Linked DNA regions of Ovis aries. The protein of the gene in region 3 binds, or shares a complex with, the protein of the main gene of each other region. Links are inferred from orthologs where the notes say so. Each region holds a gene or a part of one and is shown on either strand. Other genes may lie near its edges. The genes, in order: SMURF1, NEDD4L, SMAD7 and SMURF2.

Region 1 (5,255 bases), on a different chromosome or scaffold from region 3:
CCTGCCGTTGGGTTTCAGTTCGTGCTGAAGAATCCGCCCGAAAGCGTTGTGCTCCACGCAGAACGTGTGATCGAGCACGGGGGTGATGTCGTTCTCTCTGGGGGGGAGCACAGAGGCGGGGGTCAGGGCGGCCCGGCTTCCTCCCTCGCAAGAGGAGGGTGATGGGAGCAACGCTGCTGAGGCTCCTGGAGACAGGGTGCCCGAGTCTCCGAGCAGACAGGAGGGAAGCGTGACGGGGATACGGAGTCAAGGGGCAGCCACACCAAGAAGACGGCGCCGCCCTGCCTCCAGGCAGCCTTTCCAAGGCTCCAGTGCAGAGAAGCCCTTGAAAGCTGGGGCTGGCTCCTTTGCCACGTTTCTGGGAACACAGCTGGGGTGGTTCACAGGATGCAGATCTGACCCCTGCACCCCAGCCTTAGCAGCTGGGACGTGTGGAAGGAGCTAGACCTCCCATTCCTGTGAAATCAGCCCATTCAAGAGGACCCCCGACATCCACAGTGACCGTGTAGTTGTGCCTGTTGCTTCTAAGAGTTTTAGGATAATCTTAAAACAAAGGCGACTGAATATCAGGACTTTTTTGATAACTTCCTGGTCCCTCTAGGGGCTTCCCTGGTGGCTCAGCTGGTAAAGAATCCACCTGCAATGCAGGAGACCTGGGTTCGATCTCTGGATTGGGAAGATCCCCCGGAGAAGGGAAAGGATACCCCATCCAGTATTCTGGACTGGAGAATTCCATGGTCTATACAGCCCATGGGGTCGCAAAAAGTCAAATAAGACTGAGTGACTTTCACTTCATTTCACTTGGTCACTCTAGAGACCATGAGACACCTCAGAGTGTTAAAAAAAACAAACCACCAGGCCTGGGGATTAACAGCCACAATTGTAACCTAATAATTCAAGGAAACAACAAAAGAAACTGGTCCCTGAAGAGTAGCTGGTCAAACAGTGTAGGAGGTCGTAAGTCAATTAGATATTTTCCTCAGACCAGCTTCTCTGTCTCTGGGGGTTTGCTTCTCTCCTGCAGTCTCACAGCCATGGGTCTGGTGCACCCTAAGACAGGTGACGCGTGAATTTTCAGTTCCCTGAGTCGGTACTTACAGAATCCACACTAAGCTCTTATGGAGTTCAGGGTCCACCGATTCCAAATCAGAAAGCTGGATGGGCTTCCCCAGTAGCTGCTTGTAGAAAGGAACCGTGAAACCCCCATTGATGTAGTGTCCGTGGAACACAGCCAGACCCATGATCCGACCCACAAAATGGAAGTAAGACAAGTGGTCCTGCAGGGGGCAGCAGAGAACACTAAGTGTTAGGAAGCTGACCGGCCGGGTGGACAGGGGTGTTTCTCCAGGCTTCTCAGGAGACCCGTCCCACAGGCAGGAAGCTGAATCAGTGATTCACAGGCTGCGCTCAGGACCCACCTGGTCAAAGGTCACATGAGAGCAGGACTCTGGAGAGGTCATCTGAATGACACTTCATGTGCCCTTGGTTCAAATACCTTCTCCAAACTGCTATTGAATTTATGGGGCCCAGTGCAAAATGAAAATGCAGAACCTCTTATTCAGAAACGGAGAATTTCAACATGACGAAGGCAAAGCGTCAACCACGAGCTGCCCCTTCTCAGCGCAGCGCCTGGTGCTGGCACACCCAGGAGGCCGCCGGCCTCTCCTCCCGGCGTGCCACGAGCAAATAAAGGCGAAAGGCAGCCCCCTTCTTCCTCTGCCATCCCTCCCCCATCCCACAGGAAAGCAGAAGAGAGAAAAATCCAGAGAAGGGACTGAGCGGGGCACACAACCCAAAACCAGTGCTGTTGTGGTTTGTAACCAGGGAACCCCCGTTTCTACTCTTAGGTTGGAATTACAGAGTGTCCACACTGGTGAAAGTCGCACTGACTGCCCCTCAGAGCCACGTGCACGGTGGGGACCACAGGACGTGACCCCGCAGCAGAGCCCTCCGCTCGCTGTGGGCCACCCCTCGGCCACATTCTGCTCCTATTTCCTCATTGCTATGACGAGCAGCTAAGAGTATCAGCACGCTGGCCAAAAAGGCCAGTTACAGAAGGGAATATTCCAGTTCTGGCTGGGCGGAGGACGGACCTCGTACCCCACTTCTCAGAATGACACTATCAACAAATACAGCCATCAAGCCAGAGTTCCCTCAAATGGCAGTAAAATGCTTTGAGTCCACGAGCAGCTCAGTTTCACTCGTTGTCTTTGAAACAACATACTCAGTGACCCCAGTCACTGAAGAGAAGGGGTGGAAACCATCCATCCCTGATCCCGCTGTCAGTCTACCTTTCCATATTTTATTTGCCACAGACTTTGAGTAGGTCTACAATGAATAAACCAAGAATTGAGGTTGAAACTGGAAAGCCACTTAAATTCTCCAACTTAATTTCTGACCTCCATATTCATTAATACTTACAGGGTTGATTGAAGAATCTGGGTTGATTTGCAACATGTAAATGTTGTCTGTGGAGTACTGGAAGAGTCCATAGTACGGATTCAACATTTCATGGCACAGTAAATAAAGCCACTCCCTAGAAAGCACAACAACAAGAAGACATGTTAAAACCCCCTAGTTTTAGATCTTCATCACGGGACTGATGGACCATGCCCTTGGAAGCCAAACTCATAAGGCTGCCTGGCTCTGAGAAAAGGTGATTGGTACGGACTGGGCAAATAGGCTTCAAGAAGGAAACAACTGCTTCTAGCGGTACCAGAAAATCAAAATTTCAGCAACTCCGAAGTTGAGAACTATCTCTGGCTGCTGGGAATCATCACCAGCTCAGAGGCACGGTGTCTGTCAGCCTGCCTTTCCCCAGGGAAGGTTTTCTCTGCTACTTTGTAGAGGCAAAATCTCAGGTGACAATGGAACTTCCCTGGTGGTCCAATGGCTAAGAATCCGTACTCCCGATGCAGGGGCCCGGGCTCAGTCCCTGGTCAGGAGACTATATCCCACGTGATGAAACTCAGAGTTCACATGCCATGATGAAAGATCACAGACCCCCATGTGCAGAAACCAAGACCCACAGAGCCAAATAAATATTTTAATTTTTAAAAGGCCCAAATTAAAACCAAACAAAAAAAAAGCACTCTAAACAGAAAACGTGACTCAGTTGCTGTGGTCAGGTTTGGTAAACCCAGGTATGCAGTCTTATATAAACACGTGTGTAACCCTGTCTTCTTTCTACTCAAAACTTCTTTAAATAGACGAATCTTATTAAGTTCTAAAATTTCTTACTCTTTGAAATAGAAAAACACAGAAGTGAGAAAATATGGAAGGATAAGCCCAAATGCAGATAATCTGTCGGAGAAGCGCGTGGAAATACCCACAAAATGATCACACCAACACAAAGTGACATATCGAACTCCAACAGGAAGGAACTGTCAGAAACGAGACGCCGAGCCTTAGGAAGCCTCTTTATTAGGAAGGCAGGACTTCCCAACTCGAGCTTCGTTCAGCCCCAAGTTTCAGAGTTTGGATTTACAAAGAATTATTTTCATAAACGCCAAGGACCTGCAACTGTCTAGACAGGAAGTGATTAAAATACAAGCAAACATTCCGACTGAGCTGTGGACGAGGTATAGAGCACGAGAAAAGTTCCAGAAGTGGTCAAGGAAGCGCTATCCCCAGAGTCAGAAGAGAGAGAGAGAGGATAAAGGTTCAGACCCAGAGGCAGGGCAAAGAAGCAGACATACACGCACGTGTAACACACAGGTAACTGACATCTCAGCCCTCCGCGACAGGTATGGACCATTCAGACACGGGGAAGACTCGAGAGCTGAAAAAGTGGGAGATCAGACTAGCGGCAGAAAAGCAGGGCTTCTCAGCTCTTTCCCTGCAGCACCATGTTCATCAAGGCAGCTACACCAACACTCATCTCCACCTGCAAGACTTCATAACCATGGAAAACAGTAGAGAAAGCGAACTCCTTCCAAATCAAACTTCACCCAGCTATACACGGAACAATGTAAAGTGAAACCATTCAAGATACTGACTCTTGAGACATCCCGAGACTAGAAAGAAAAAGGCAGAGGAGAGAGAATGGAAGTAGTGTGGCATGAATTTCGGACAAACATGAACGAGGAAACAGAAGTCTCCCTGAAGAGAGGGACGGAAAGCCTAGAGCCCTTGTCTTGTTAGGAATGGGACTCATGTTTTCAGGGCAGACGAAAGTTACATTTGCCAGAAGAAAGATGCTTTCTAGAATCAATATGGAGAAGATCAAAGAAGAAACCTGGGACGATCGGGAAAGAAAAAGCACCTCCCGAGGAGAGGCAGTTGCAGTGTGAGCATGTGGTCAGGAAGGCCCGGGCTCAACCTGTATCCCAGACGGAGGGGCAGGAGGGGAGAGAGGCGGACACGATGGGAAGAGGCTGGAGGACCAATTCTGTTCCCGGCCCCATTTACTTACTTTTGGCAGCTGGAAAAGATCCCAACTTCACCCAGAGACGTAGTGAGACCCCCATATCACTTCTCAGAACCTAATTTTGCTGGTGCTGACTGCTGCAGGGGTGAGAATCTGCTTGTGTATTCTAAACTGTGAGGGTGGGAGGCTCTCCCGTCCCATGACCCCCAAGATGGGACCACTGTCACACACGACTGCATGTTAACCAGGCCCCTTGCAGCACCTACCAGAGTTGAGGTTCGCAGTCACTGGTGATTCTCTGACTCGTAACCTTGTCAGAGAGGGGATGGGATGCTTCAGAACTGGGGTTCTGCCAGTGAGTGACAGCAAGCCGAAAGAGGAGCAAGGAAGTGAGGAGGGGGTGGGAGGAGTGAGCAGGACGGTGGATACGGGCAAGGAGGCCTTGAAGACAGGAGTGGGAGAGAAAAACGGGAAAAAGGTACAGCATCTATGGATGACGGGTGTTCCCGGATGGGGACAAACGGCACAAAAGTGACTGAAACCAGACTCGCATCAGACAGTGACCCGGGAGAGCAAATTCAGAGTTCTGACTGAAAATGATTTTCTTTCTAGAAGTCTATAAGAAGCCAAGCTATCAAAGCAAAGATTATAAGACATTTTCAGACCTAAGATCTTGGAAAATTAACCCCACACACACCCTTTCTAAGAAACCTACTTGAGGATATACCCCAATAACACAAGGGAGTAAGCCAAGGAATAAGTAGCCGTGAGACCCACACAACAATGGCTCCAACCCAAGAAAGCAGTGATGTCCCACGAAGACAGCTATGCAGAAGGTCTGAAGAAACCGTGTCAGGGGACAGGGCCTCCACAAGAGAGGATGGGA
Region 2 (5,255 bases), about 8.9 Mb from region 3:
AGCTGTCACTGAAATCAGATAATAAGGGAGAGATGAACTGAATTGTCATTCACAATTACCGCCTTCCAAGTATTCACGGGGGTCTATTTCAATAATTCTTATCTGTTCTTGGCACAGAAATGATCTTAGAATGGGTTTTCTTGCGTATTTTCAGTACTTTGCCTAATTTGCATTCAGTGAATATTCTGATTTAAGAATTTATGAAATGACAGAAGAATCCCAGTTCTTCGACAAGGATTGTTGGATTTCTTCCCTATAATTACACACTTATAAAACCCATCCCAGCACACTGCTCTCCCAGGCTTTGAGATGAATCATAAAAAGCAAGCCGAGGGGCTAAGAGAAGAAGATACTTGTTATATCAACTGAAGGGAGAAAATCCCACCAAGAGGTAAAAATAATGAGCAATATTGTTTTTTTTTTCCTAATTACTCAACATCTAAGTTTTTTGATCATTATTGGATTTTTAAAAATCAACGTGAGAAGGGAACAACCCTCAGCTCTGTAGAACTCCACCTTTTAGATGCCAAGGGCTCTGTAGCCCCTTTAAACAGCTCAACCACAAACACTCGAGGCTTCCCACAAGCCACCCAGAAGATCCTAAGTGGAGGCCCTGAAACCACAGTTCTTTTGGTCTCATCCACAACTGGCAAGCAATCTATCCAGTTTCCCTGGACGGCCGCCACAGGGCTTAGGACAACACAGGTTAAGAAGGACAGAAGGGTCTGCTAGACCCCCTAGCCCTGCCTCAGGCGTCCCCTCAAAACACAGTTCTGCAGCGAGGACTCGAGAGTGGCCACAAACACGAATCCCGCAGAGCTCTCCACCCCCCGCAGGGTCAGCTGGAGAGCCAGACATCCGGATGCCAAATCAGGTCTCTCCACCCTTTTAATCTAGCACGCGACGGATACAGCGCGGGCAGAGCACGGTATGGAAGCATGCAACAGGTCATCGGGAACAAAACCTGGTTAGATTGTCTAGTAATCTTTGCAGTGGAGTAGAAATCACAAAACGCTTGGTGAGGACAGGCCTCCAGGCTCAGCTTTACAGCCAGGGTTTAGACACCAGCAGCCAGATTCACAACCGATAGATACTGCACCGGAAAGGCGTGTGCAGAGAGAAGAAATCACATTCAATGCTATGATTAAAAAACAAAACCAAAACAAAACCAGGCATGACCTCCATGTGGTACATAAAGTGCCTTCAGAACTGGTGCAGTTAGAACAGAAGTTGCGTGTTCAGCTACTGTTCGCAAACGCGCACAGGCAGGAGGTTGCACAGGCCTGCTCTCCCGTCACTCGGTGCCAAGTTCCATTCGAGCGTCTCGACTACAACAGCGAGGAGGAGAATATGACAGGAGGGCTGTACAGCATCGGGAAGGGTTAAGTAGCTTCTCTTCGAGAAGTCATAGTCCAACCCTGCCTCAAACGTGCTCCAGCACACGTAGTTACTTCTAAGGAATAATGGTGTGATTCCTTCAAGTCAACACAAATTTTGTCATGCTATGTTACAATTCTCTCAGTCTGCAGCTATTACGCTAAATTTGAACAAAAAAATGTAATATCCAGTTTTCATTCTGAGCATGGAAAAAACTGTCATGATGGCTAATGTTAAGAGTATTTGTCTGCAGAAGGATTCTGGACAGAAGTCAGTCTTCCATAGCTAATCCTGTAGGGGGTGGGGCTTTCCAAGTACTTTAAAAATAAAAACATCACCGACATTAAACCTGGTATGAAATTCAAATACAAAAAAAAAAAATATGCTCACTTTTCCAAGTACATGAGACATCTTTAATTGTGAAATAAAATCTGCAAATCGGCCTAAATCATTTTAAAAAGTAAACATGAGTTGTAATACTATACCTGTAGAGTGATTAATTCCATTCGCTGTCATTATAAAGTATGGAAAATATTTATTAAGGGCTTGGCCTACAGAGGCACAACATAAATAGAATAAGTCCTCCTGAAATGTAATCAGTATACACATCAACCAGTTGGAAATTGGTGGTGGGAAATGCAGGAACGCGACCCGGGACGGGGTCTCCCTGTCGGCCGTGGGCAAGTCGGGGGCAGGGGCTCCGCTCTCCGGGACCCCTCGCCGCGCTGCTCTCTGCCAGCGTCTCTGCAGAGTCTGTCAGGCAAATGCAAAAGTGCAAGCAGGACTTGCTCGAAGAACAACCGCCCTGAGGCAGGGGGCACTTAATCCACCCCCTCGAATCCCTGGGCATTTTCCACAGCCATGAGAAGCTTCTCTCGTAAATCTTCGAAGGTTTCATACGGAGGTAAGTCAAGGCGATTAAAGCTGCAAAAGTAACAACAAAGCGGAGGTAAAACACCAGCATTTCTGTCTGTGAGCTACACCCGGGTCTCCTCGATCTGGCTTAAGAGCGCACGTGGTGTGTTTGAGCGGGAGGATTGTAAAAGCCTCGGCACAAAAATTATAATCCAGTGATGACCCTGCCCACACCACACACCTGCAGGGGACGAGAAAAGGATTTCCGAATCGTCTGTGAAACCTCTCTACTACAGTCGGACGTGCACCCTAGAAGCGCGTGCTGGGAAGGGAAGAGAACAGGCAAGGTAACTGGTGCACACGCTGAGGCTTCCAAGCTGGAAACCCAAGGGCTTTCCGCAGCAGGGCAAAAGGAGGCTCTCTGATGCTCTCCCTCATCTGACACTATTTTAGGAAGCCAGCGCTTCTGCACGCAGCGCCAGTTTTCAGCACAGCCCCTTTGAGAGGGTGATGTTTCCCCGTTTTGCAGATGCGGGCCCTGCAGCCGGGCGGCAGGTCGCCGTGTCCCAGCCTCAGCCCTGACCACACCGCAGACCTGAGACCGGAACCCAGGCCCCCGTGGCTCTGGGGCCCCGACGTGGAGCGGCCCTCTACCCAGAGGCAGGCAAGTCACTGGCGTCGGCGTGAAGAGCTGCCTTTACACAAAACCCCTCCACAGCTGGAGGCCTTGGCCGGGGGGGTACAAGTCACCCTGGTGACGGTGAGACCTCCAGACACACGGGGCCTCTGTGAGCAATGATCACACGTGTTCACAGGACGGAGTTCAGATCCTGTCTCTGCCACCTGCCAGCCGGGTGATCTCAGGCCAGTCACTTCCCTCTCTGTTGGCTCTTCTGTGACGTGGGGAGACTGCCGCAGGGTCAGGTGCTGGGAGGGTCCGATCACACACATAAAGGGGTCTGGCACACAGTGAGCGCCCACGGGCAGACACCACTGTCACCACTCACTCGCCGGTCCCTGCACCACCCCCCCCCACGCACCCCTCACGCCCCAGGAACAGGGACCTGGAGCCCCAGACACAGACCAGGGAGGCGGGCTGCTGGCAGGCCTCTGTCGTGACAATGGCTACATGCGCTTGTGGCTTGTTAGCACATGTGTGCATGCGTGCACACACACGTGCACGCCTTAGCTCATTATGCTTTCATAAGCTGACATTTGTGGAGCATTTGCCCCGCGCCAGCACTGTTAGTGCTGAGTGAGTGCAAGTCGCTCAGCTGTGTCTGACTCTCTGCGACCCCATGGACTAGACAGTCCATGGCATTCTCCAGGCCAGAATACTGGAGTGGGTTGCCTTTCCCTTCTCCAGGGGATCTTCCCCGCCCAGGAACTGAACCCTGCACTGCAGGTGGAGTCTTCACCAGCTGAGCCACCAGGGAAGCCCAGGAATACTGGAGCGGGGAGCCTGTCCCTTCTCCAGCGGATCTTCCGCTCCCAGGAACTGGATCCAGGTCTCCTGCACCGCAGGTGGAGTCTTCACCAGCTGAGCCACCAGGGAAGCCCAAGAATACTGGAGCGGGGAGCCTGTGCCTTCTCCAGCGATCTTCCCCTCCCAGGAACTGGACCTGCGTCTCCTGTGTGGCAGGTGGAGTCTTCACCAGCTGTTGCCACCAGGGTGCTGTTCCTTGATCCCCTCAGCGAATCCTGGCGCCCACCTGTAAGGTAGGTGATGCCGCATCCCTACTTGTAGAGGAACCCAAGGCACAGAGAGGTTAGGGAACTTGCCCAAGGTCACCCAGTAAGTGGGAGAGCCCAGATTCAGCCCCAGGCTGGCTCCAAGGCCCGGATATGGTCAGGCTGCCTCAGTGTCTAAGACTGCGCGCTCTCGGCACTGGCATAGGTTTCCAAGGATGAGCAGAGCATCTTCCTGTGTTTTAAAGCCAATCATTGTCAGCAGTAAGACCCGGACGCATGAGCAGGGTGGGCCCTTTAACAACCACTGAGTATTTGATAAGACACACTGAGCTCTGAGATTTTTTAACATCAAAATACACAGCAGAGCAGAACACTGTGCCTCCCAAACCAGAGGGCTCAGGAATCCTGAAAGATTAAGATGGAAAGAAGTTTTCAACGTTTGGTTTTCACCGTGATAACGACCTCCAATGTCATTTCACCAGCGACAAAGACAAAACCCCACTCTGCAGCTACACTTAAAAGAGCCTTTTACCAGGAGGCAGCTGTTGTCTTGATTTTAAGCTGGTATTTCACAGTCCAGGGCCTGCAATCCTGAGGGGCTTCAAGAGTCTGTGGCCATTTTAAAGAAGGTCCATAGATTATTCAAGCTTGAGAAATACTGGCATGATGAGGGGAGTGTGAAGAGCTGAGGTTTGGGATGTTGTCAGCTCTCAGGGCGTCAGTTGCTCCACTGCTTAGAGGGGACTCTCAGGACCTGCCTCTTAGAACTGCTGTGACGGTGTCACAGGTTCACACACACGGCGCTTGTAAGGGCGATGCCTGGAGCACAGTGAGTGCTCAGCGTTGCCATTTTTTCTGATGTCAGGAGAAGGTCTGGCTCTGGCCTGCCACCAACCAGCTGCACGGCCTTCTTACCCTCAGGGGGTAAGCCTTGTTTGGAAGATGTGTGGGCTGAAGGAGATTATTTTTAGGTGGGTCTGTGCTGCTTAGTAAAGAGGAATTTTAACTATATGAGCAGTGACCTTTGATAGAACAAAGGAAAGAAGCCGCTTCATGCTAGATATGCCACAATTATATGTCAAAGAACCAGCTCCGCCAAGCCCTCGCTCTCCTAGTAAATCAGGTTTTAATCTTGACGCTTCACTGTGTATTTTGTATTTTCATCCAACATGGAAGAGATTAAACACATATGGCTAGATTTTATTTAGCCACATCTATGGTTGTCGCGGGGAAGTCTGTTCACAGCGTACCAAGAATGAAGCATGGTTGTTGTGTTTCTGTTTCAGCAGAAGCCGGGGCTGGGTGGGAGGAGAGCCACAGCAGAGAAAAAA
Region 3 (5,975 bases):
ACTTCTGGCACTCACAGAGTCTCCCACGTTTTCCATCACCCTGTCCCATTTGGCTCCCTAGACCTGCATGGACCAGAGTCTATGCGCTGAGTTGAATCAGCTTGGGTTATGGAGTGCAAATACAAGAAAAGGAACAAAATGGAAAGCATACCTAAGAAACATCTTTGCAAAAAGAAAGATATATTTGTATACACACACACACATTACCTCCAGCTCCAGTCACAACAGAAAAAGAAAAAAAAAATCCACTAAATTGCCAACAGAGGAAACCTATAACCACCTCAGGGCAAGTCCAGAGTCTCCCGAAGCCGCTGCCTAGACACACAAATCCGCGTTCTACAGCCTCCATTTCTAACTTAAGACAGGAAGGATATTTTTAAAATCAGCTACTCACCAGTTGGTTTGAGAAAATCCATCGGGTATCTGGAGTAAGGAGGAGGGGGAGACTCTGGAATTAAAAAAGAAAGAGAAAATAAAGGCTGAGCCCTGAGAGAGAGATAGAAACTTATGATAACAGAGGCATTCTTTTAGCCCAACTGTTTGTCTTAGCTGTGGGGGTTGGAGGCAGGGCCGCGAGGCGGTGATTGCCTTGATATTTAGCTGTCAGATAAACAAAAGAGGCCGCCTGGCGCCAGCCTCGGCGCGGCGCTCCTCCACGTCTGCGGCCGCCGCCGCCGCGCTCGGCCGGCCCGGCTGCAAACCGCCGGCTCGGCCGCCGCACGTCGCAGTTCACGGGGCGGGGGGCGACGAAGCCCCCCGCCTCACTTCGCGTCCCAGAACTTCAGACCCTGCTCCCTCCGCCCCCCGCCCCGACCCGTCCCCCCGGGGCGCAGTTCATCTCCGCCACCGCCGCTGCGCCCCGCACCCGCGCGGGGATCACGGGCTTCCCCCTTGCCCAGCTCCCTCGGAAGGTGCACCCCAAGGGCGCTGGGGAACTTGGATCGGTGGGCGCCCTAGGTGCACCCCGCCTCCGCACGAAGAGGCAGAGAAAAGGGATGCAAAGGAGAAGGCTGAGAGCATAAAGGAGAAGGGCCCCGGGGTCTCAACGGAGGAGCCCGGGGCCCAACTCAGTAGTCTGGGGGCAAACCATCCGACGGTCGGTTACACTGCTCTCTCTCCTGCGCTGAAGAAAGTAGGGGACACCCAACTTCCCCTGACTGCCTGTTTTCTCTCACCCCGGGCTGGCGGAGCTGGGAGCAGGTACACAGCTCGGCCTCCTATCCTGCTCTCTCTGCCTCAAAACCCAAATCTGCGCCGGCCAGGGCAGGCTTCCTGGCCCCTTGCGCCCGACGTGACGCTCCCCCTTCCTTCCTAAAGGGGAGCCTTCCTCTCCAGCCTTTACTACCGCTTCTCCGAGCCTTCCTTGGCGGGCTTGGATCGAATCCAAATCGGCCACACACCTCAACGCCGCTCTCCGTGCGGGGGAGGCGTGACCCCCCCACACACACACACACTTCTCTCTGCACCCCCTTGGCTGATCCGGAAATAACCCCATGTCTGCAGAATACGGGCATGAATGAGTAGGGCCCAGGGGCAACCCCCCCCCCGCCCTTGGGGCCACCGAGGAGAGAAAACTGGAAGGGAACCCCGAGGGAATGCCTTTCCAGTTTCCTCGGGTCCCTTCTCTACCTTTGTCCCCCAAATCTCCTCCCAGGAGGGAATGTACACACATCCCTCCGGCGAGGTGGCTGCACTAACCCACAGCCCAATCGGGCTTTTCTTCCCCACACCTGAGTGCCGGGAGAAAGGGGGGGCACGGGCGGGTGGGCGTGGATCAACTTCTTACCTAGTTCGCAGAGTCGGCTAAGGTGATGGGGGTTGCAGCACACCAGCTCGGGGTTGATCTTCCCGTAAGATTCACAGCAACACAGCCTCTTGACTTCCGAGGAATGCCTGAGATCCGGCCACCTGAACACTTTGCACAGCAGGAGGGGGAGCGAGTAGGTGGAGGGCGGCTGCGCCGGCTGTGAGCCGGCGGGCGCCCCCAGGCCCAGCCTGCAGTCCAAGCGGCCGGGCAGCAAGAGGCACGCGGTGCGCGTACCGCCGCGGGACTCCACGGCCTGGAGCAGCAGCTCCAGCTGCCGTTCCTTCAGTTTCTTGAGCACCGAGTGCGTGAGCGCTTTCAGATCCGCCTCGCCACCCCCGGCCGCGCCGGCGCCCGCGGCTGGGGGGTGGGGATGGTGGTGACCTTTGGCACCTCGCACCGCCTTGCCCAGGCAGCAGACAGCCCTGCCTGCGCCGCCGCCGCCGCCGGCCCCATGCGCCCGGCCGTCCGTCGCCCCTTCTCCCCGCAGCTCGCCTCCTCCTCCGCCTCCCCCCGCGCCCTCCTCCTCGTCCTCGCCGCCGGGCGCACGGCTCCTCCAGAGACGCCGGACGAGCGCAGATCGTTTGGTCCTGAACATGCGGGGCGAGGAGGCGAGGAGAAAAGTCGTTGGCCGGCTAAGGAGCGAACATGACCTCCGCACACCATGAAGAAGTCGGGCGCCGAGTTGGGGCAGCAGGCGCAGGCGACAGCAGCAGCAGCAGGGGCCCTGGCAGGAGCGGCGGCGGCCCGAGGGGCGCTCCGTGGCATGCGCCAGTCTCCCGGAGGCCGGAGCGCGCGCGGGGGCCCGGGGGCGCCCGCCGGGGCTCGGGGGCCTGCGCTCTGGCTGCCCCACCCCGCGCGGCCCGCGCCGTGCGCCGCTCGCGGGCCCCGGCGCACCCCGGAGGAACGCGGCCGCCGCTTCCCCGGGGGCGGCGAAGCCTACCCGGGTCGGCGCCTCCCCAAAAAGAGGCCCCCCCGCAGTGGCTCCCGAGTGTCGGGCTCGCCAGCCTCGGCTGCCTACATGGAAGATCCGCGGCGGCAAAAAACGAAAGGCGTTCGGCAGGGCTGCTGGAGGGAGGAAAAAGCCTCTTTCCCCCTTGCTAAGCAACTTAATTTGGGGGTGGGGAGAAGCAATTAAAAAAAAAAAGCAGGCACGCGATTTATTTTTTTCCTCTATATCCTTAGTAACCGGATCTCCTTGAATTCCGTGCACACGAAGACTCGGGGGAGGGGGCTGAGTGGACTTCACCCCACATGAGATGTCTGGCGAAATAAGGAGGCTCTCAAAATCTAAGAACCAAACATGCAAAGCCCCAAATGAAAAACACCACCTCCTCGCACCCCGGAGGTCTGGGGGCGTCCGGCTGGAGCTGGGGTTTAAAAAAAGAAAATGTTTACAAAGTAGAACGAGACGTTTCAGGGGTGGAAAAAAAACGTATCCACGAGTTACATCCCCCTTTTTTCCTTGCAGAGCCCCGCTGGTCTTCCTCTCCTTTTCTTCTGCCAAGGAAAAAAAAAATCCTATATATATATTTTTTAATCCACAGAAAGCTTTGGCTAGGCTGCTTCAATCCTTCGCATCTGGGTGGTTTAGGGGAGTCTCTGGCCTTTCCTCTTGCGCTCCCGGGGGCCCCGGTCGTCGGCGGGGACTTCCTTGGGGCTGGCGGGGGCGCAGGGGCAGAAGATGCTGCGGCGGCGGCGGCTGCGCCCCGCGGGGCTGACAGCGCGGGGGAGGGCGGCGCGGCGGCCGCGGCGGGCCCCTGGCGGGCGGCGCGCTCTCGCCCTCTGCTCTCTAGCGCGGGGGCCACCGGCGCCCCCTCCCCGGGTTGCGGCTGGCCGCCGGGGCTCCCCGTAAAAGGCTGCTCGCCCCGACTCGGCTGCGGCGACTGGAGGCCCCGGTTGTCCCTCACGCCGCCTTCTCCGAGAGACTCTCCTCGTCGCGGCCGGGAGCCTCCTTGTCCCCCCGTCCGCCCTCTCCTGGCACTCGGGTCCTTCTGCCGCCGCCCGGGGTTCGCCGCGCCGCACTCAGGGGCTCCTGGGCCGGGCGCTCGGCAGCTCGGCGCCGGCGGGCTGGCTCTCGTCTCGGGCAGCTCTCTCCGGCGCGGCGAGCGGACCGAGCACGGCGCCCGGCTGGCTCGGCTGGCGCGGCTCGGGGACAGGCTCCTCCGTGCGCGGAGCAGGCGAGCGAGTGTGCCCGGGGCTCGCCGCCTCCCGCAAGGCCTCCCGCCCCCGCCCCCTTCCCTCCCCCTTCCTCCCCCTTCCCTCCCCCGCCCCCCAGCCGCCGCCGCCTCCTCCCCGCCCCCCCCCCCCCCCCCCGGGCCCTCTGCTCTGCTGGTTCCACTGCGCAGTGGCGCGCCCGGCTCCGGCCTCGTCACGTGGCCGTCTAGACACCCTGTCGCTTTAAAAAAAAAAAAAGCGATTGTGTTTCGCAAACAACAGATCGGGTTTCTAAAAGCTATTTCTCCCCCCCCCCCACCCCGCTCACCAAATCCCCGCCACCGCCACCCGCCTGGGTCTGCAGAGGGGGGACCGATATGGGGCGGGAGCGGGGGTGGATAAAGGTGGGGAGCAGAGAAGCTCCCGGGGTTGACGGAGACCTGGCGAAATCAGAGGAGAAATGGGAAGACCCAAGAGCACCGATCGGGCACCGCCGGCGAGTTTTGGAGCGAAGCGAGCGGGCCGGTGGCCGGATTTAGACCCAGCCCGCGGAGCCTCGCGGGGGCTGTCCCGCGCGCGCTCGCTCTAACGCTTCATTCATTCGTTTTGTTTTAAAGGCCCTGGCGACGGATCCCCTGGCCGCCGCGCGGGAGGGAAGGGGGAGGAGAGCGCTGTCTCCGCGTAAAAGACATTTACACCGGACTGGACCGAGGCCCTGGGAAGTGCGCGCTGGAGGGAACAGCCGGCCCGCGAGGGCGGGGAGGCGGCGCGAATGTGACCTCAGCGGCGGCCGCGCGCTCCCTCCCGCCCTCTCCCGCTCGGGGCTCGGGTTTCTAGGACTGCCTGGAGAAGTGTGTCTTGTGCAAAGCTCTGGAATGCATTTGGCTGCCTGACGAGTTGCGAGGGGCAGCATCTTGGCGGGAGGTGGCGGGGGTGTGTGTGGGGGTGCTCGCCCGCCCGCCGCGGGCAGGTTTCCTCCGGAGCCCGGAAGACCTCCGCCACTCCGCCTCCCGGCGCGGGAAGGTTACCTTCCGAGGAGACCTGCATGCATATGCATGCGGGGCCTGTTTCTTCCCCTCCTCGGCCCCGTAGCTTTCTGTGGCGCTTAGAGTCAGTGAGTTTATCCCCTTACCCCAGGCCATAGAGAAAGCGTAGACCCACCTGGCCGACTGGTGCATAGACACGCTAAGGCGTTGATGGGGCAAAGCACCAGATAGCGTTTACTTCGTGAAAGCTGTTGGTGCTGAGAAGCGTCATGATTTAAATATATAAGCGTTAGTATCGACGAGGCCACTAGTTGGCATGGTGGTCTAACCTCACATCTTATTCAATGAAATAATAAATATATTTTTTTAAGTCATTTAGAATTGTGAGGTCAGGATGACAATCAAACTCACTGGGGATTTTAATGACTTTTTTTTTTTTAATGAATCTTTTAAAAAAGGTGAAATGAACTGTTTTCATTTTCTCAGCTAAATTATGCCCCTTTTAAAGGAAAAGGCACCAAAAAAGGGAAAACGTAATAAAAGGAAAAGGCACTGATGAACCTCAACTCAGCCCCTTCCCTTCCAGCAACTTAAAAGCCATCTACATGCTATAGATGCTTAATAACTATTTAGGAACCAACAGAGTTGGATAGGTATTTCCACCTTCTCCCCCTACCCCAACCCACCAAGAGCACCTTTGGAGATATATTATGTGGTAATATAATATTATATAATATATAAGGGAGAAAATCATTATCATCTCTAAGCAAGGGGCCCTGAAGCTCATTGACCTAGAAGAGCCAGAAATGCCAAGCAGGGCAGAAAGGTGTACAACAGGGCAGCAGCTGGGATTCTAAACATTTACTTTGTAAGCCACATAGCTGCAATTGTATAAGATCATAGTTTAGTTACAGTTAAAAATAGTGCTGGGCTTCCCTGGTGGTCCAGTGGCTAAGACTCCATGCCTCAATGCAGGAGGCCTACGATCGATCCCTACCCAGGGAACTGGATCCAACATGCCTCAACTA
Region 4 (5,255 bases), on a different chromosome or scaffold from region 3:
CGGGTGTTTACCTTCCAGTCATTAACATCTATCTTTCCAAGTCCACAAATAATGAGCTGTTAAAATATTGCACAAATAATGAACAATGGAAACCCAAGTCAGGCCAAAAATTCCTTAAAATGGAACTTTAGATTTGCAATGTTCGCTTTCAAATGGTGTCCTTAATCAAAGGTAGACATCAGAACCATCTGGAAAGTTTTTCAAAATGTACACACTAGGTTCTATGCTCATATTTTAATGCTGTGAATCTGGGGTGAATTAGGATCTGTATTTTTTAAAAGCTCCATGAGTACCTACACACTGCAGGTTCCCTACCCAGGATCTGAGAACCACAGTGATGGACATGACAAGATGAGAAGTTCCATAATCTCACAGTAGAATTCTAAAAAAATGTTAATGATCAGAAACTAGATTTAGAGTAAATACAGCTTACATATGCCTTCCTTAAGACCTGTATCTACTATTCCAATTTCAACCTTTATTAGCTTTGGCATTCTGGGCAGTTCTGCTCACTTCCCTTGGCCACAGTTTCCTCTGCAGTAATAAGGCAGTAATATCTGTTTCATTATATCCTCTGAAAGCAACCAATAGTGCATGGGCATTCAAGAAATTGTGTTGAGTAAGTGGTACAGTCTGTTTAAAGTTGGACCAAAGTACAAAATATATGAACGCACTGTCACAGAGCTCTGCTTGGCATCTGATGCAGGCTCAGTATAAGTGATGTGTCAAAATCACTTTGATCCGATTAATACACCTCCTTAGGGGCCAAGACAGAGTCATCTTACTAACCTGTGTATAACACTGACTTATGATAGTGTGTAGTACAGAACATAATTTAACCTGCAAATCCCATAGTTTACAATTAATTATAATAACCCAGGATAACACTAAAATAAATTTTATATATATATACATATTTCTTCTGAAAAGCTTACTTTCATTAGCAGTAGAAATTATATAATAAACGCTAACATTATTGAATAAAATCTGCAACAGAGCTTCTACAGGGTTCTGAAAAATAATCACAGCTACATGAACAGGTAAGTGGTTATCCAAACAGAATTACAGAAGTACTTATAATAGCGACTCTACCTCTCAAAATTCCTTTCTTCAGAGGAGTGGTAACTTTAAGGCCAAGTTCCTTATTTATTATATGAACACAAAAAAATGCATCGTATTTCAACCTTATTGTCATTTCTGCTGTGTCTCACTCCTCCTCCTACTTCCTTCTGGCCATTTCACTATGAACAGCTCAGTCACGAAAAGAGTGGGGGTGGTATTGAGTCAAACCAATCTTTTTAGGTTTGTCTAACAGATCTGTTAACAGATTTAGTTAGAAAGGACACTAAAGTTAATTAATAAAATCATGTTTTAAATTATGGATAGACATCCAATATTTATGCTATCCCTAGGCACTAATTAAATTTTGGGACCTCAAGCAGAATAAAATCTCATTACTTTTCAAAGCAGTTCAGTAGCAATTCAGATGTATTTGTTAAAAGTCTTAATTATAAAACTAAACCTATGGTGCTTTAAGGACTAGCTTTAAAATAAAACAATGGTTAACTGGTTATTAAAGTCTGTATTAGTAATGAAAATTTCCAAGGAGACTGAAGATGTTCAGATAGTGTGGAAAGTCGCTCAGTCATGTCCAGTTCTTTGCAACCCCATGGACGGTACTCCATGGAATTCTCCAGGCCAGAACACTGGAGTGGTTAGCCTTTCCCTTCTCCAGGGGATCTTCCCAATCCAGGGATCGAACCTAGGTCTCCTGCATTGCAGGTGGGTTCTTGTTTAGATAGAGATGATCCTGAATGTTCCCTCTAGGTTTTTGTCTATCAACTGCTTTCTTGTAAAGCTTAACGTAAATCCACTTGGGTCTAGGTTTTTATTCCAAATAAACTGCACTATGGTGGAGACCAACTGATAAAGTTTCACTTAACTAAATCAAGAGCCATTTAATTAAAGAATAGGAAATAACACTGGGAGAATATACACAAAATACACAAATCTGTTAAAAGAACAGAAAATAAGGAAAAATAAAGGATAGTCACAATATAAGAGACTACTTGCAGAATTTCCAAAACATGAACGGCTTTTCCTATGAGTCAGAATTCTCACAGCAACACGTAGAAAAACTTCAAAAGCACCAGAAATACAACTCCTCTAAAACTAAGTAACAGAAACCTCTCAACCGTGCTTTGTTATATAGATGACGTCATGATACTCATACACTGACCTCTAACTCCTTCTCATCAAATGTCTTCAGCAGATGCTGTGGAATTACTTCATTGAATCCTTTCTGCAGGGCCAAGAATTGTGCTTCAATGCCTCGTAAAAATCTCCAGTTCACGTAAAGCCTGGAAACATTGGACAGGGGTTTTGTATGATGAAATGTATTCAGATTTGGTAATTACTATGAATCTCTAGTACATTAGCAACACTGCACTTCACAAGTATCTGGCATTAAGAATTTAGTCTAAAATCTAAAAGAATCTCATATTACCGAAGGGAGATGGATCCTCAGCAGGGAGGCAGTTCAGCATAAATTATAAGCAGTATAAATTAAAAAACAGTAACCTTCCACTAACAAAAGCAGCATCGCTACAGCAACTCTTCACTTCAGAAAAACTCCTATTAAACTGGAAGTTGGCTGGAGAGCAGATGGGTCTGAAGTTAAAATCTAAATGAAATTATTTTCTTAGCTTCTAGCATGCATGCCAATAACCAGAAAAAAAAAAGCCCATTCAACCGAAAATGACTTTTTCTGATTTCACTTGAAAATACAATCTGAACATGTTGGGTGTTTTCTTTATATTTTGTGTGTTGTATATGGGGGAAGGGGGAGTGAAGAGAATCCTCATATCCAAAACGAGAAGAAACAGTAAAAGCCACTAGGCCAGCACTTTCTGACCACTCGTTTTCCCCTATAGGCTTTAAAAGCCCTGGGAGATGTAATTTAGCAACAAAGTTCACAAAACTCCATCGCATGTGTAGCTGTACTCGCGGCTTTGTTTGGACTTACACTTTCTACATGAATTGTTTGTTTTTTTTTTTAATCTATCTTCCCGGGAAAACGTACCTCACAAACCTCAGAACTACTCAAACTCCCAATTTGTCAGGATTTCCTTTCCCAAACTTCGGAGAAATAATTCTCTAAGAAATGAGTTACTTAATATTAACTGTATCCCTTGGGGGACCTCATTTTTCCTTGTTTAAGGGCACATCAAAACTGCATACCTGTAAAAAGTTTTTCTTTGTAATTTTTAAAATTTCAAAACTATCTGATAAGGGATAATCGGTGGTAGTCGTGTCAGACTCTCTTGCCACCCCCTGGGCTGCAGCCCGCCAGGTTCCTCTGTGCATGAGATTCCCCGGGCTTCCTTCTCCAGGGGACCTGACCCGGAGACTGAACCCACGTCTCCTGCGCTGCAGGTAGATTTTTTACCATGGAGCCATCTGGGAAGCCCCAAGGAATAATTACTGTGTGCTATAAACAAGACTGGATCCTGGAGAGAGCAGTCTACTCTAGATCCTGGGAGTGACACTACTGACCTTCAGGAAATCCCCATTCACTCTTCTTTATTATTTTATTTTTTAATTGTTATATATGTGTGTGTGTATTTTGGGGGGGGGTGGGGGCCACACTGCTTGACATGCGTAATCTTAGTTACCCATCCAGAGATCAAACTTCAAACCCATGCCCCCTGCCGTGGAAGCATGGAGTGCTAACCACTGGACCATGGGGAAGTTCCTCATTAAGTTACAAATGTGTTTGTTATTAAAAGAGAAGTCATAATTTAAAACTCAACCATTAAATGTGGAGACAGAGTAAAACCCGAAAGTCCCCTCTCTTACCCTCTTTCGTCTCTACTTCCAGGCCTATCACTTCCACTCCCCTACCCTAGGCAACATTTTATTGGGTAAGGGGTCTTCCTGAACATCTTCTGTATGAGAATAAAACAATACAGACTTTGTTCCAAGACATGCTTTTTAAGTGACAGCTTATGCAGAATCTCTTTTTTAAAATAGCCACACAATATTCTGTTATATTCATCATCCTCTTCTACAAACATTTTGCAGTTTTCAGGTTTAAACAGCCTTGTATTTCTTTAATTACAAATGTGTTTCCAAACAATAGATCCCTAAGAATGGAGCTGCATATGCATTTTCATTTTGGCAGGTGTTTTCAAATTGTTTTCCAACAAAGCTCTACCAGTGTTCACAGGCTACGAGACTGATGGGCCTCATCCATAAACCAAAACATTTCAGCCAGTAAGACCTGAGGACATATTCTGTGCAAAAAAGGACAGCAAGCACACTTCTGTGTACATATGGTGAAGTTCACACTCCTAAATTCAATCATAGTTTAATGCTTAGAAAAACTTTATATACCATGAGCCAAATGATCTCACTTAATACTTCTAGATTCCTCAATCAACAGGTGATTTTGTAAAACCTGAACATTTTCTTGATTTTTTTAACAAGAAATATAGTACTTCTTATATAATCTATATTTCTTTAATAAATATTTCTACTATATTTATATTTAATATATATCAAATATATTTCTATTTTCATAAATTAGATTTCTATTGAAAACATGTATTTCTTATATAAACCCACAACATCTTTGTTTATAAGTAGGATTAAGTCCTAGTAATATAGCACAAAAGTGCTTCTGCACAGCTAGCTGTGGGAGCTCCACCACACATGACATGGCAAACCGTGTTTCCTGAAATTAGTGCCTTTGTACAGCCCCTCTTTCAACTGAACCTGGGCTGGTGTGCAACTCGCTTTAACCAAAAGAATACAGCAGAGGTGATGTTGGCCAATTCCAGCCTTGGGACTTTAAAAGATCCCACAACTCCTCCTCCTGTGCTCTGGGAAACCAGCCATCCGATAAGAAGTCTGGCTACCGTGCTGAAGAGCCAGGCCTCTGAGACCACATGGGATAACCAAGGAGCCCAGCCAACAGTGAGAACCAGGTGCCAGATGGTGACCCAGTGTCCACTCCAGGCAGCACCCAGCCAGCCAAGCCACCCCAGGTGAAACATCAGACATGTGAGTGAAGAGGCCATCGGAACATTTCCGCCCCAGCTGACACCACGCGGAGGAGCAGTGTGCTATCCCTGTCGTCCTCGATCCAAGTAACTGACCCACGAGACCATGAAAAATAATAAAATGGTGGTTGTTTTTAAGCCACTTAATTCTGCAGAAGCCTATTCTGTGGCAGTAAGTAACATTATCTAAGC

Evidence for each region.
Region 1: the proteins of SMAD7 (region 3) and SMURF1 are in contact, whole or in part, in an NMR structure (PDB 2LTX), measured with the Homo sapiens proteins. The link is inferred for Ovis aries from reciprocal best matches to the Homo sapiens genes SMAD7 and SMURF1. Residues at the interface, in NP_005895.1 of Homo sapiens: Glu203, Glu205, Ser206, Pro207, Pro208, Pro209, Pro210, Tyr211, Ser212, Arg213, Tyr214, Pro215, Asp217; in NP_065162.1 of Homo sapiens: Glu313, Arg315, Ser316, Thr317, Arg321, Tyr323, Val325, Asp326, His327, Arg330, Thr331, Thr332, Phe334, Thr335.
Region 2: the proteins of SMAD7 (region 3) and NEDD4L are in contact, whole or in part, in an NMR structure (PDB 2LTY), measured with the Homo sapiens proteins. The link is inferred for Ovis aries from reciprocal best matches to the Homo sapiens genes SMAD7 and NEDD4L. Residues at the interface, in NP_005895.1 of Homo sapiens: Glu203, Glu205, Ser206, Pro207, Pro208, Pro209, Tyr211, Ser212, Arg213, Tyr214, Pro215, Asp217; in NP_001138439.1 of Homo sapiens: Arg394, Asp396, Lys398, Arg400, Tyr402, Val404, Asn405, His406, Arg409, Thr410, Thr411, Thr412, Trp413.
Region 4: the proteins of SMAD7 (region 3) and SMURF2 are in contact, whole or in part, in an NMR structure (PDB 2LTZ), measured with the Homo sapiens proteins. The link is inferred for Ovis aries from reciprocal best matches to the Homo sapiens genes SMAD7 and SMURF2. Residues at the interface, in NP_005895.1 of Homo sapiens: Glu203, Leu204, Glu205, Ser206, Pro207, Pro208, Pro209, Tyr211, Ser212, Arg213, Tyr214, Pro215, Met216, Asp217; in NP_073576.1 of Homo sapiens: Glu304, Arg306, Asn307, Thr308, Ala309, Thr310, Arg312, Tyr314, Val316, Asp317, His318, Arg321, Thr322, Thr323, Gln324, Phe325, Thr326.

The regions. Positions count from the first base shown.
Region 1 is NC_056077.1:37,683,586-37,688,840, reverse strand, and holds part of SMURF1 (E3 ubiquitin-protein ligase SMURF1), read right to left. Parts: intron 2,537-5,255; coding exon 2,422-2,536; intron 1,278-2,421; coding exon 1,099-1,277; intron 98-1,098; coding exon 1-97. UniProt on the Homo sapiens protein: E3 ubiquitin-protein ligase that acts as a negative regulator of BMP signaling pathway. Mediates ubiquitination and degradation of SMAD1 and SMAD5, 2 receptor-regulated SMADs specific for the BMP pathway.
Region 2 is NC_056076.1:57,867,996-57,873,250, reverse strand, and holds part of NEDD4L (E3 ubiquitin-protein ligase NEDD4-like), read right to left. Parts: exon of another isoform or gene 2,302-5,255; coding exon 2,199-2,301; 3' UTR 1-2,198. UniProt on the Homo sapiens protein: E3 ubiquitin-protein ligase that mediates the polyubiquitination of lysine and cysteine residues on target proteins and is thereby implicated in the regulation of various signaling pathways including autophagy, innate immunity or DNA repair.
Region 3 is NC_056076.1:48,950,674-48,956,648, forward strand, and holds the start of SMAD7 (mothers against decapentaplegic homolog 7), read right to left. Parts: upstream 3,997-5,975; 5' UTR 2,403-3,996; coding exon 1,787-2,402; intron 449-1,786; coding exon 395-448; intron 1-394. UniProt on the Homo sapiens protein: Antagonist of signaling by TGF-beta (transforming growth factor) type 1 receptor superfamily members; has been shown to inhibit TGF-beta (Transforming growth factor) and activin signaling by associating with their receptors thus preventing SMAD2 access.
Region 4 is NC_056064.1:48,460,367-48,465,621, forward strand, and holds part of SMURF2 (E3 ubiquitin-protein ligase SMURF2), read right to left. Parts: intron 2,361-5,255; coding exon 2,240-2,360; intron 57-2,239; coding exon 1-56. UniProt on the Homo sapiens protein: E3 ubiquitin-protein ligase which accepts ubiquitin from an E2 ubiquitin-conjugating enzyme in the form of a thioester and then directly transfers the ubiquitin to targeted substrates.